Linked DNA regions of Caenorhabditis elegans. The protein of the gene in region 1 interacts with the protein of each later gene in a pairwise test. Each region holds a gene or a part of one and is shown in the gene's direction. Other genes may lie near its edges.

Region 1 (7,401 bases):
TTTTTTGTTTTTTTTAGTTTTTTTTTGTTGGTTTTTTTGAAAATTTCGATTTTTTGTTTCTTGTTTTTTGGTCCAAAGTTCGACCAAAAATTTTTTTGTTTTCTGGTCGAAGTTTGTTTTTGTAATACCTGGTGGTGATCCTACTGGGCGGTAATTTAAGCCACACCCAAGCTGGGGACTGTGGCCGTTTTATAACTTCAGTAACTGTTTGATAAGACAATAAATTTCGAGAGCAGGCTCCAGTAATCCTATGCCTCACTAACAGGGAATATACGTTAGCTATTTCAGAAAAATAGCACAATTCGAGCAGGCTATGGAAACCTCGATGCTGCTATCTACAACATGAAACTTGAGTACTCATATTCTGACAATACGCCAATCAAACTCCAAATTAGACAATACGCTGCGATGTAAGATAATGTTAGTGCTAGTTCATCAGAAAAATAACTTTTTTCAGCGATATTGACTACTGGCCACCATATGCTGACTAAATGCCAAGTTTTGCAATTCATTTGAATAAACATTTGAACATTCCAATAGCTTACACATTTCAACAGATAACACTTCAAAAGTTTTTTAGTCTGGGAGATTGATAAAAATTTGTTTCAAAGTAATTTTGCAGAAATTAAAATTCTGCCACACTATCCTGTATGGAAGAATTTACATGTCGATGTGCATTCTTCTAGTTGATAACTTTGAGACTCAGCGAACGCTTGACAAGTTATCACTGCTTGTTCAAGTACTGATTTCGAGCTCCAAATTTATTGTGCTGGTTGCCAGGAGCCACTGGTTTCAGGTTTCATGCTGCAAAGTCATCTTCAGTGTTTCACTGAAGATCCACAAAACGAATATATAGTTTGGCTGCTTAACCATTGAAAATCTATTAGTTTTTGTTCAGTACCGAAAATTCAGATCGGTGAATTCGAGAAAGTTTTGGAAGAGCTGCGGGATGTTTTTGTTCATAGTTTCTAGAAAATTTGGAGCCACGGGGTAAATAAATAAATTTTTAAATAAATTAGATAAGTTCAAACGTGAATATGAACTTTCTGCCCTTTCTGCCCTATCCCTTTTCCCCACGTATTCAATTTTCGAAACAACAAATAAAATCAATACTCCCTTCGATTGAAATTCATTCATTTTCGACTAGTGAACAACGATCTGATATGTGAGTTTTCTTATATCTGTCAGTGTTCCCCAAAAAACCCGCAAAATTTTTTCAGAAAATGAACAAACAACCGGGACAGCAACCATTGAGATCGCTTAGCTTGACGTCTGCGGCCAAGTCACCTGAGGAGGTTGAGCCGGAGCAGGATTCGAAGAAAGGAGAGCCACGTGCCAAGGCTGCAGGATTCGGAGGAGGTGGAGGTGGTGGAAAGAGACTCCCAGAGGCAAGATCTACGCCAATGGTCATTCCGAACCAGGTAGCAGCGATGCCGGTTCAGATGACTGTAAGTCATTCTAGCTAATAGTGATCGTTTTAACTTTTGACTTTTCAGGGCTTCGTCCAACTTGTCGCCAACAACATTCTCAGCGCCATTGCCCATACCAACTCTGTGATGGTTGTCCAATGCATCAAACCCCTCGAGATCTTCACCGGATTCGAAACTCCGAATCGCTACGTGGTCCATGACATGTACTGCCGCCCGCTGCTTTATTGTATGGAAAGATCGAACATCTTCGCTCGTCAGTACGAAGGAAACGATCGTAACTTCGGAATGCAGATCATGGATACCCACGGAGCTCAGGTGATGACGTGCTTCAGAGGAAGACCATGCTGCTCGACCGATGATTTTCTGAGCACCCAGTTCCTCGATCAGCAGATTGGGATGATGAAGAAGGAGTGCTGCAATCCTAATGTGAGTGCTAGTATCAAGTAAAACTACAGTAATCCAGAGCCCTGAAGCATTCTTTGGAAAAATCACATTTTTCTCAAAAGAGATCTTTTCGCTGATCTGAGTTTGCATCAATCTTGATCGAGCTTAGAGCCAGGGCTGTGCGGCAAATTTTGAAACTTGCAGTGCTCGGCAAACGGCAAATTTGCCGCACACCCCTGATGCCCTATCTATAGTCCGATCTATAATATATCTGTAACTTGGCACATAGCAACCTAGAGTCTTTCCGCTTTGCTCTGCCGCCCAGCCGCAAGACATTGATACACAAAAGAGAGCAAAGCGGAAGGACTGTAGGTTGCAATGTGCCAAGTTTGTACTGACATAGATATAGACTATAGGTTACTAGACTGTCCAAATGTCTTTCAGTATTAAGATGTTTATCTAGAAAGCCTATTACTTGGTACATAGACGTACAGGTTTCACGCCTTTGCTCTGCCGCCCAGCGGCTAGGCATTGACACACTAAAAGAGAGAAACACAGAGCAAGGCGGAAGGACCGTACGTCACCAATGTACCAAGTTACAGATATAAATTGCACTATACAATTGCACTATACGTAGATCTATAGATCTATATCTATATACCGCTGAACGGCAACATCGGGACTAGCATGACACCTTGTACAAGGGCAAACTCGGCAAATTTGCCGAGCTCAACTAACTCCGAAAAATTTGATGTTTTTTGAAGCACCAAAACTACTGAATTTTTAACGCGGCAAATTCGCCAAATTCGCCAAACTTGCCGCACACCCCTGATCAGAGCAATCGTTCCTATAGGCTGAAGCTTTATTAGCTCTTCACCTGAATCTCCCATCCTCCTTGAGACACATCCTATTAACCTTTTCTTTCAGTTCGAGCTCGTCGGATCCGGCTGCAACCAGCCCCTGCTCATCCAATCTCCAGGTTGTGCAGGCTGTGGTGGCACCCAGAAGTTCCCAGTGATGACCTTCAATGGTGTGCTCGTCGGAGAAATTGTCCGCCTCTACCCGGGATTCATGCAGGAGATGTTCACCGATGCGGACACCTATATTGTTCATTGTAAGCATTTTATTCTAAGCTTCTGATCTTTTCTATCTTAATTTTGGAATATTTCAGTCCCAATGGACATGCCGCCAATCTTGAAGCTTCTGCTTGTCACCTCGGTTTTCCTGATCGACTTCACCTACTTCGAGGATCGTAACCAGGATCAACATCGTAACGGCGGAATGCATAGCGGAATGCATAGCAGCTTCTAAACTTATAAAGGATCCTGTTCACAAATTCACTTGCAAACTAGAATAAACTAGTTTTTTCTGGCTTCTTCTTACTATACCTACTAGCTGATAATTTCTCAGCAAAAGATTGCGTTTTCTGGGCACAAATGACTTGTTAAAATTGCGATAACTAATACACGTGCAGCAGACAACAATTCCGCAGATAATTTCCTATTTTTTTCCAACAGAAATTTAAATCTGACGTGAAGTTCCACATAGTACAATCAGATCAGATTTTCAAAATTAATTTATTTCCGACTTGTGACCAACACTTTTCTATGTGAGTTTTCTTATTTCTCTTGGTTTTCCCTCAAAACCCGCATAATTTTTTCAGAAAATGAATATTCAACCGGGACAGCTACCATTGAAAGCAATTAGCTTAACGTCCGCGGTGAAGTCACCTGAGGAGGTTGAGCAGGATTCAAAGAAGGATGAGCCACGTGCCGAGGGAGCGGGGTTCGGTAGAAGAAACAATGCTGGAACGAAGCTGCCAGCGGCGAGATCGACGCCAATGAAAATTCCGAATCAGGTGGCAGCGATGCCGGTTCAGATGACTGTAAGTCATTCTAGCTAATGGTGACCGCTCTAAATTCTGACTTTTCAGGGCTTCGTTCAGCTTGCCAGCAACAACATCCTCAGCGCAATCGCCCATACCAACTCTCTGATGGTTGTCCAATGCATCGAACCGCTCGAGATCTTCACCGGATTCGAGACTCCAAATCGCTATGTGGTCCACGACATGTACTGTCGTCCGCTGCTTTATTGTATGGAAAGATCAAACGTCTTTGCTCGTCAGTACCACGGAAACAATCGTAACTTCGGAATGCAGATCATGGATACGCACGGAGCCCAGGTGATGACTTGCTTTCGAGGAAGACCATGCTGCTCATGCGATGATTTCCTGAGCACCCAGTTCCTCGATCAGCAGATTGGGATGATGAAGAGGGAGTGCTGTAATCCTAACGTGAGTTTTGGACGATAACCACCGCCAGTAATAACTACAGTACTACATTAAACTACAGTACCCTAACATTTATAGAGGCATGAGAATATAGGAAACATTTTAACAATACATTGTGAACAGTCCTAAAGTGGTGTCAGGCTGTCTCATACCGGTACGATCTACAAAAAATGCGGGTGTTTTCCGCCCAGAAAAGTGTGCCAAAACTGTGCGTCTCAATATTGTAGATCATATGGGACATCATGATACCCCGATAAAACCACAATGCCACGTCCTATGCCGATCATTTTGTGAAAGTAGGGTTGTTAGTCGATGATCTAGGGATCTAAATTGTTCCGAGCTATCACAAGGGAATTCTTATACCTAACACCTTTCATTTGCTAGTCCTAGATTCTTTTAGTTCGAGCTCATCGGATCCGGCTGCAACCAGCCCCTGCTCATCCAATCTCCAGTTTGTGCTGGCTGTGGTGGTACTCAGAAATTTCCAGTTATGACCTACAATGGCGCACTCGTCGGAGAAATCGTCCGCCTCTACCCGGGATTCATGCAGGAGATGTTCACCGATGCGGACACCTATATTGTTCATTGTAAGTTCTTAAGATCCGAATTCTATCTGAATTCCGATATATTTCAGTTCCAATGGACATGCCGCCAATCTTGAAGCTTCTGCTCGTCACCTCGGTTTTCTTGATCGACTTCACCTACTTTGAGGATCGTAACCAGGATCGTCATCATCATGGTGGGATGCATGGCGGAATGCATAGCAGCTTTTGAATTTTTTATGAGCCCATTTCACTTGCAAACTAGAATAAACTAGTTTTTTCTCCACAGTTTTATAGCTAGCTTTTCTGTAATTACAAGCTCACTTTTTTCAGAAGATAATTCTGTTTTTTGGGCACAAGTGCTTAGATTTTTCCCGTACATCCCAAGAAGTAGTTGATTTTTATTTAAAAAAAAAGCTTTGTAATCTGGATGAAAATTCAAATTTTCAACGTGACCCCTTTTCCACCCCTCACGTAACATCTTCTCCCAACATAATCTCCCATTCCTACTATTGTTCATCGTCATCGAATGTGAGTTTTCTATCGCTTCTTTCTGGGACCCCAAAACCTTCCAACTTTTCCAGAAACCAATAAAAATGAATAAACAACCCGGAGAGCAGCCAGTCAGCTGTGCGACTTCAACTGAGAAATCCGAAAAGGAGCCACCGAAGAGCCGAGCGGAAGCTGGAATGATGCGTGGCGGCGGGAGACTTCCACAGCCACGGGATACTCCGATGGAGGTGCCGAATATGGTCGCAGCAATGCCGGTTCAGATGACGGTGAGTAACCTTACGACGCGTTGCGTGTCGCGTTGCGTGTCGCGTTGCGTGTCGCGTTGCGTGTCGTGTCGCGTTGCGTGTCGCGTTGCGTGTCGAGTTGCGTGTCGCGTTGCGTGTCGCGTCGAGTCGAGTGTCGCGTCGAGTGTCGCGTCGAGTGTCGCGTCGAGTGTCGCGTCGAGTGTCGCGTCGAGTGTCGCGTCGCGTGTCGCGTTGCGTGTCGCGTCGAGTGTCGCGTCGCGTGTCGCGTTGCATGTCGCGTTGCGTGTCGCGTTGCGTGTCGCGTCGCGTGTCGCGTTGCGTGTCGCGTTGCGTGTCGCGTTGCGTGTCGCGTTGCGTGTCGCGATGCGTGTCGCGTTGCGTGTCGCGTTGCGTGTCGCGTTGCGTGTCGCGTTGCGTGTCGCGTTGCGTGTCGCGTTGCGTGTCGCGTTGCGTGTCGCGTTGCGTGTCGCGTTGCGTGTCGCGTTGCGTGTCGCGTTGCGTGTCGCGTTGCGTGTCGCGGTGCGTCTCGCGTTGCGTGTCGCGTTGTGTGTCGCGTTGCGTGTCGCGTTGCGTATCGCGTTGCGTATCGCGTTGCGTGTCGCGTTGCGTGTCGCGTCGCGGTTCTTTGATGTGGAGTACAGGTTTTTCCCCACCTGCAGTCCGTGGCGATTGTCGATGGAGCGCAAAAATCGCTGCGAGGAAGAAGCCCGTGTACTATCATTGCATATTGTTTGTTTGTTTTTTAGTGACGTCATACCCAAAAACTGGGACATATGACGTCACCACTTGTAGTCGGGGCCTGTCGAGTGACGTCATCGTTAATCTTTTTTGAAAACCGATCAGATGAATGGCTATTGTGAAAACTTTTGGCGGAAAATTGAAAATTTCTGCAAATTTTTTTTGGCGGGTAATTCAAATTTTTGAGAAAAATATTTTGGGGGAAAATCACATCTTCTGGAGCATTTTTTGGCGGGAAATTTGAAACATTTGAGAAAATTTTTTGGCGGGAAATTTAAAATCCTCAATCTAAACCAACATTATTCCAGGGATTCGTGGACCTCGCCCCTCACACCATACTCGACGTCCTGGCTCAAACCACCTCCCTTATGATTGTCCAATGCCTTGAACCACTCGAGATCTTCACCGGAATCGAGACCCCCAATCGCTACGTGGTCCACGATATGTACTGCCGTCCGCTGCTCTATTGTATGGAAAGATCCAGTTTCTTTGCTCGCCAACATCAAGGATCCCACCGCAACTTTGCTATGCAGTGCATGGATATTTTCGGGGCTCCTGTGATGAATTGCTTCAGAAGTCGACCGTGTTGCTCGTGTGATGACTTTCACACCAGAGGTTTCGATTGCAATGAAGAAATGGACGAGAAGTACGACGTGCACTTTGGAGACAGCCGTTGGTGAGTGTTTAGAGATTGGGGTGGAGTACGCGTTACCACGCGATCAGGGAGCCACCGTCTCAGCACGGGTACATAAAGCTAACCATCATGAGGCCATTATCAATAATTTATTGTTCCAAAATGTAATTATTACCCAAAAGCATGAGGATAACGATCACCTGCGTCGTTTTCTCCTCGATACTCGTGGACTTCCGCCAGTAGTTGAAGCATCAGCTCTGAGAGCCTATGCAGCGATCATTGGAGGACCAAAGGTTACCGATGCGGAAATCGATAACGATCGTACGATCATCACGTTCGGAGACTTGACTCTTTCGGAAGAGCAGTCACAGTTCATTCGAACTGTTAAGCGTCTTAAGTTCGATTGTCTTGCTCTCGACTGTGCATTTGGTACAGGAAAGACCACAACCGCAATTCTCGGAGGATTGCACTACGCCAAGGAACATCCGAATCGGAAGATGATCTTCACGGGAGTCACAAATGCCTGTTCTTCCGCAGCAGTGGAGACGCTACAACGTTTGGATCCAAACGAAGAAATTCGAGCCGTACGAATGATTTCCTCGGACACTATCAACGCGATGGACGG
Region 2 (6,791 bases), on another chromosome or scaffold:
TATTGTATTTTTACATTGTATACTTAATTAATCAAAATCCGCACATAAGTCTCAATTGAAAGTTACAAAGAAGCGAGATCAGGCATACGCCTGAAAAAAGTGTCTCCGAGCTGGGATACATGGAGTGGTCAAAACTTTTTGAAAGTACCGTCAAATGAAAGACCATGTTTGATCACATAAATTCCCACATTTTCAGAAAAATCGATTCGCCACGAAAAAAGTTATGAATTTTGACCCGGAACTTATTGACACCCCTAATAGAAACCTAAAATGGTAGAAAAACCGTTACTGTATTATTCAAAGGCGCATACCTTTTTGCAAACATTTTTGCGCGGCCTCGATTTTCAAAATATTTCGATCGTGGCGAGAGCAGGTACCGTATTATCAAATTATGTGCAAGTTGATTTTAAAAAAACATATAAATACATTCTAAAAAGAAGAAAAATGACCAAACTTTTAAGTTTAAAACTACGATTTCCTTTAAAAAAAAACAAATTATTGAAACAAATTCTAATTTTTCATAATTTTTCAGAAGATGACATCATTCGGAGCACCACGTGACGTTAAGGGCAAGCACTTGAAGAGAATCTGGGAGCTTGAATACCCAGAAGAGGCTGAAATCTCTTTGGATCGTCTCTAAATCATTTTTCTCCGTGTTTTTTTTTCTTTCGTAAATTACATGATACCTGTGCATAATTTGCTTCAACTTCTTCTCCAAATGTTTCTTCTTATTCTTCAAAAAAAACTACTTTTTTGTTTGTTCTCCATCCCATTTCCCTGCTTTCCTTCCTATTCTTTTCACACCCAAACAAGTTCATCATATAAATTTGAAATTTTTCGATTGTTTTCTTTTTTGCGTAAGTTGCAGCCAAAAATGAGCAATTTTAGCGAAGAATTATTCTTGTTATTTTAAACCACTTGCATTTAGTTTTCTAAATGAAATTCACAGAGATGCGACAAGCCATAGATTTACTTAAAAATATATGTTTATTCTATGAAAACCCGTACGGAACTTTCAGGCAATATACTAAAAATTTAACAAAAAATTAAAAAATTAGTTCGTGTTCAGGGCGTTCAGTTTTTCCATCATATTGTCATTGAGAGCCTTCCAGAATAGACCTTCTTCGCATTCGATGTCTGTTGTGAAGAATACCTGCAAATATTTTAATGAATACATTATTTGATTTCTCGATTTTTAAGCCAAAGGTTATTTTTTACAAAAAAAGGTTTTTAAAAATGTGTGGAGTTTTGTTCTTTTCATATAATTTATTTTTCATTACCGCGGAAGTAGTCACACCCATTTAAGCAAAAGTGGCCTTATTTTAATTTTCGAAAAAAATTATTTTCAGCGAAAATTTTGTTACGAAAATTATTTTCTGCCTAAAAATTATAATTGCGACATGATCATCAATTATAACTTTTTGTTCATAATTTCCAAGCTAATATTACACAATATTTGAGAAAATACTTGAAATACGGAATTTTTTAGAATAAATTCAATCTCTCAAAAACAAAATGTTGTTTTTTTTTGGTTTTTCTGGTTGCATCGGTTTCAGATAAAAATGAGAATTTCCTCGAGTTTTTTATTTCGAAATGAACGTTTTTTCAAAAATACCTGTGTGAATCTCGATGTTTTTGTTAACCGAAGAGTAGTTGATTTAATGAATTCTCGTTGCGTATTCTCTCCATCGACGAGCATTGTGAAGTTTGGAAAATGTGCAAGCCCGATTGAATCGATTTTACTGAAAACTAACATTTTTAAACAAACTGTTCATTTTTGACTATGGTTTTTTATCAAATAGCTTGATTTCATAATTGAAACGAATAGCTTTATTTTTTAAAAGATGAATAAAAAAAATTTAAAATACCTTTCTCCAACCCAAATCCATGCACTTTCTGTTGAATAAAGAACATATCCGTTGAGATCTCGATTGCATATCTTTTCGGAAAACTCTATTCTTTGAATTGGTGACATTTTCGGGTAGAAATTTCTGAAGAACAAGAAGATTTTAAAATTGAATCCAACTGGAAAACGCGCCGAAGGAAAAAAATCGATGTTCGAGAGGAGTACACGAGATAGCTCGGCCATGTGGAAACTAGTCCACGAGGTGCCTTTTTAGCAAATATTGGAAAAATGGATTTTTCTTAATTATGAAGAATTTTAAGTCTGTTTTAATAGATTTCATCGAAAAAACATTCAATTATTATCCCAAAACAAAAATTCCAGATTTTCTTACAAATGCGGTTTAAGCAATGCATAATATTCTCCATCATTGTATCGATTTTCGCAGAAAAAGAGCGGATGGTTCGATTTTTCAATTCAAAATCTTAAAATTTATAAAAACTGTTTTACAGATGGATGGTTCTGTTTCCCCGTCAGATCATAAAAAGCCAGCTTCTGAGCAGAAATTAAACTTAAAATCTGGCCAAGAAAGCGTAGAAAAATTTGCGAAAGCTTTGGATACAAATAATGATGGTTTTGTAGGTAATATTTAGACTTTCTATAATATAAGAATAGAAAATCCAATATATGTACCAATGATGTTTCAGATAAAAGTGAAATTCTTGCATGGGTATCCGAATCATATCAGAAAACTGTTGATAGAGAAGCAGTAGAGAGAATTAGTGAGCTTGATGAGAACGCTGATGGATTTGTGAGTTTTTCTAATTATAAGAAATATTTAAAATTTTGCACTTTACTTTTTTTTTTAGCTTTTAACATGACTCTAATCTTTTAAAATCTACTTCCAAATTTTATCTACTTCCAAAATGTGTTCTGAGAGTTGAATTGTTTCGAATTTATTAATGCAAAAGTTTATTGAATGTAATTTTTTCTTAATTCATAACTTGAGTATTTGTATATATATATATATTTTTTTTTTTTTAGTTATATTTCAAAAATACGCTTTTTTCTCTCGTAGATAGGAAACATGTGAGGTATCAAACCACCCGGTGTGAGAAAAATGTAAATTTGTATATTGTAGGTATCGTGGGAAGAATACTTGGCCGATTCATTTCCTGACGAAGAGTTACATAACAAGGAAGAAGAATCACTTATTGCACAGGATAAAATGTATTTCAAACGTATGTTTCGGAGTTTAAATAGTTTGAGAATTAACGTAGCTATAAAAAACTTAAAATGAAACGCCGACACTACGTTTTTAATCTTTCATGTGCTATTGAAAACTTTGGATTTTGGCTTTTTTTCTGAAATAAATGAGAAAATGCAACATCAAAATTAGAAAATTTCAGAAGCTGACGAAGACAATGATGGAAAATTAAATCTGGAAGAACTGGCAAGTTTTCTTAACCCGGAGCATCATCCACATATGCATCCGGTTCTAATTGCTGTAACGCTGCTAGAAAAAGACCAGAATGGAGATGGAGCGATCGAAGAGAAGGAATTTTTGGGAGAACTTGATGAACAAAGAGGCAGTGAATGGTATAAAGTTGAGGTGGAGAGGTGAGTTATTGCTTTTAATGTTAAGATTTTGGGATTTTAAAATAAATAAAAAAGATTGAAAACCAAGAAACGGGAAAACAATAAAATAACAATTTTATAGAAAATCAATATGAGAGCACGGTATACTTTAAAGGGACATGACTAATAAAGCATAATGGTCTCGCAGGGATCGTGAACAAATTACTGTAGAAGGCGCATATTTCTTTATTTAATATTTTGCGGATTCAAAACTGAAAATATTTGAGAAACATGTGTTTAAGAAAATTTAGAACTTTAGAAAATACAATTATTTGAAATAATACGGTTTTATAAATAGGCTAACTCATTTTTCAATATATAAATACTTTCGAATCAATATTTATTTAAAATATATTTTAAAATAATATATTTCTAAACTATTCTGCTTCGGAGAAAAGTCGTTCAATTTTTTTTTTCCTAATTTGTGTCCATTTTTAGATTCCGTACAGTTTATGACAAAAACAAAGACGGAAAACTGGCCGGCGACGAGCTGACCGATTGGCTTCTCGTTGATGGAACAACAGCTGGATCTTATGAAGCTGAAAGTCTTCTAACAAATTCAGATGATGATAAAGATGGACAATTGTCTTATGAAGAAATTGTGAAGCATCATGCTCTTTTTGCCAAAACTGAAGCTGCTCAAGAAGCCGATCATCTGCACCCATATTATTCTCATGACGAGTTGTAATTATGTAGATCTCTGAATCGAAGTTAATTGAACAAATGATAAATTATTTACAATTGTATATATCTGAATAGTTTATTCACAGTAGTTTGCTTTCATTTTACAAAAAATTGGAAGAATGCGAAAATTGGATCATATAAATAGGACGAATAGTAAAGACAAAATCGGCGTTTGGATTAGTATTATGGATGACAAAAGTGAGGTTTGAAAGCGATGGTGGATGAATAAATGATTTAGAGCATGCTGCACTTGCTCTTCTCAGCCCATGGGTTAACCTTCTTGTCGATTGGGTTCACAAGTGGATCTTCTTGGCTTTCGGTGAAGCGACGAAGTCTGAAAGAAACAAAATTTTGAAAGTTGGGCATTCTGATCTCGTTAACTTACTCGGCTGCCGAAACAGTGATCGGAGTACGCTCAATATTGAGCTGGCTGCGAAGCGAGTCGACGGTTCGTTGCATGTCAGATTTATCCATCTTGTCTGAAACATTTCTTTATTGAATCGGAAATGAGAATCGTTTGAAAAAGAGTATTTGAAAGCCAAATTATACGAATTATTGCGAATACCATGGAGAACGAATAGTATTCAGAAAGTTATGAGAAACGGGTAGTTGCAAGTGTACGTTATAAATTAAACTTGTTAAGAACATTCAAAATTGGCCTATAAATAAGTTCGACTGACATTATTTAACTTGAAAAAAAGAGGTTTTTGGTAAAAGCAAAGGTTTAAATTAGGTTGAATTAACTGAAAAACAGTCGAATCATGGATTTTATTCAATTGAAAACCGAAGTTTCTGACTATACATTGACAATATCAGTCGAATTGGAAAAAATGAGTACTATAAAAGGAGTAGCAGAGCAGAGCAAAGACAGAAATGAGAGAAGAAGTGAGCACCAGCGGGACCCTGCCAGTCTTTTCTCTGCGCTCCTCCTCGCTTTGTGCTTCGCATTTGAAAATCAATACTTGAAAGAGTGTAGTGAAAATGGAGACATTGTAGAGGGCAGAGTGCTGCTGCTGCTGTTTCGATTGGCACACACACTCTCGCTCTGGCGCATACATTTACGCGAGACAACCTCACACACAAGCCCTACGAAGGAAAATTGAGAAGACGAAGAAGACATGGAAATTGAAGTGAGAATATATGGAAGATGACGGAAATGGAGGGGAATGAAGACATTAATTGGTGTTATATTTTCAAAGTGTGGAGCTTATATACAAAGGACAGACAGAAAATCATGGCACTATATTCGGAAAAAGATTTATGTATATTAAAGTTCACTGTGAGAAATTAAATTATTAAGCCAGCATTTTAGATTTTTTTCGTTATCGACAAGTCAATTGACAGATCTTTGAAAAACCGTGAATATATCCTGCAGTTCTAAAACAAAATGAGACTTTCATCGCCCAAAAAATTAAAACTTCATTTAAATAGCCAACCATCAGTTTTACAATTGTAAGATGCTGCTAGACAGAGAACAGCTTTTCTTACTCGTTGGAGATGCAAAGCATTTTCAGACCAAATAAACTCACTGTTTGCATTTAATGGAAGATGAGAAAATAAGTGAAAATTTTGTTCAAAAATACATTGTAAAAGAATAAGAAAACGGTGGTACATAGAGCCTCGAAACAAAAGAAAAATTAATATTAAAATGCATCATTTATTGTTCGTAGTACGGTAAACAATCGGTGTTTGCGACCACTGCAACGGACGCTACGCGCAAATGCACGGCCGAGAGTTTAAATCGAAAAATATTTTTTGTTTTGTTACTTTGTTTTCTTTCGGTTTTTATGTGAAAATTGTATTAGTTTTTTGTAATTTTTGCCACAAAAACGTATATTTGATCTCGACGGATAAAAAAGAACAGAATCAGAAAAATCCGTTTTTGTCTTTCAGAAATGTCTACTGCGTATGAAGTTCAATGTCGTGGATTACCATGGGAGGCCACTGAACAGGAGCTAAGAGATTTTTTCGGAAGTGAGTGGTGTTTTAAATCGTTATAAAAAAATCTTCTTCAAGATAATGGAATCGAAAGCTTGGAAATTCCAAGGAGAAACGGTCGAACCAGCGGTGATGCGAAAGTGGTTTTTACCAATGAAGAAGACTACAACAATGCTTTGAAAAAAGACCGAGAGCACTTGGGAAGCAGGTTTGACTTTCAAATATTTCTTTTAACGAATTAACTGTTTGCAGATACATCGAGGTTTTTCCTGCGGGTGGAGCACCAACAAGGCGTGGAGATCGAGGTGAACGTGGAGATCGTGGAGATCGTGACCATTATCGTTCACGCGGAGCACCTCCAAGAGATCGATATTCCGATCGTGGAGGACCACGGAGTAGCGGGCCGGACTCAATTGTGAGGCTTAGAGGATTGCCATTCTCAGTTACGAGCCGAGATATCAGTGATTTTTTAGCCCCATTGCCAATAGTTCGGGTGAGTAATACTACAAAAGTCTTGTTTGATTTCTTGAAATATTTCAGGATGGAATACTTCTTCCTGATCAGCAACGTGCTCGTCCAGGTGGAGAAGCCTACGTGTGCTTTGAAACAATGGAAAGCGTGCAAATAGCAAAACAGCGTCATATGAAAAACATTGGACATCGCTATATTGAAGTATTCGAAGCTACTC

The links. The genes of interacting proteins can lie anywhere in the genome.
Region 2: the proteins of scrm-8 (region 1) and calu-2 interact in a two-hybrid assay, tested with the Caenorhabditis elegans proteins (one large-scale study listed by BioGRID).

The regions. Positions count from the first base shown.
Region 1 is NC_003282.8:4,161,299-4,168,699, forward strand, and holds scrm-8 (Phospholipid scramblase), read left to right. Parts: upstream 1-3,393; 5' UTR 3,394-3,423; intron 3,424-3,477; 5' UTR 3,478-3,480; coding exon 3,481-3,699; intron 3,700-3,747; coding exon 3,748-4,107; intron 4,108-4,504; coding exon 4,505-4,691; intron 4,692-4,738; coding exon 4,739-4,878; 3' UTR 4,879-4,932; downstream 4,933-7,401. Other genes in the region: scrm-5 (Phospholipid scramblase), read left to right, coding at 1,224-1,448, 1,497-1,856, 2,742-2,928, 2,986-3,125.
Region 2 is NC_003279.8:6,755,616-6,762,406, reverse strand, and holds calu-2 (EF-hand domain-containing protein), read left to right. Parts: upstream 1-2,227; 5' UTR 2,228-2,239; coding exon 2,240-2,305; intron 2,306-2,355; coding exon 2,356-2,485; intron 2,486-2,550; coding exon 2,551-2,654; intron 2,655-2,984; coding exon 2,985-3,084; intron 3,085-3,252; coding exon 3,253-3,463; intron 3,464-3,919; coding exon 3,920-4,169; 3' UTR 4,170-4,226; downstream 4,227-6,791. Other genes in the region: Protein unc-87, read left to right, coding at 533-640; F08B6.1 (BPH_3 domain-containing protein), read right to left, coding at 1,055-1,153, 1,616-1,742, 1,869-1,975; gpc-2 (G protein gamma domain-containing protein), read right to left, coding at 4,400-4,499, 4,551-4,639; hrpf-1 (RRM domain-containing protein), read left to right, coding at 6,061-6,139, 6,182-6,311, 6,356-6,596, 6,644-6,791.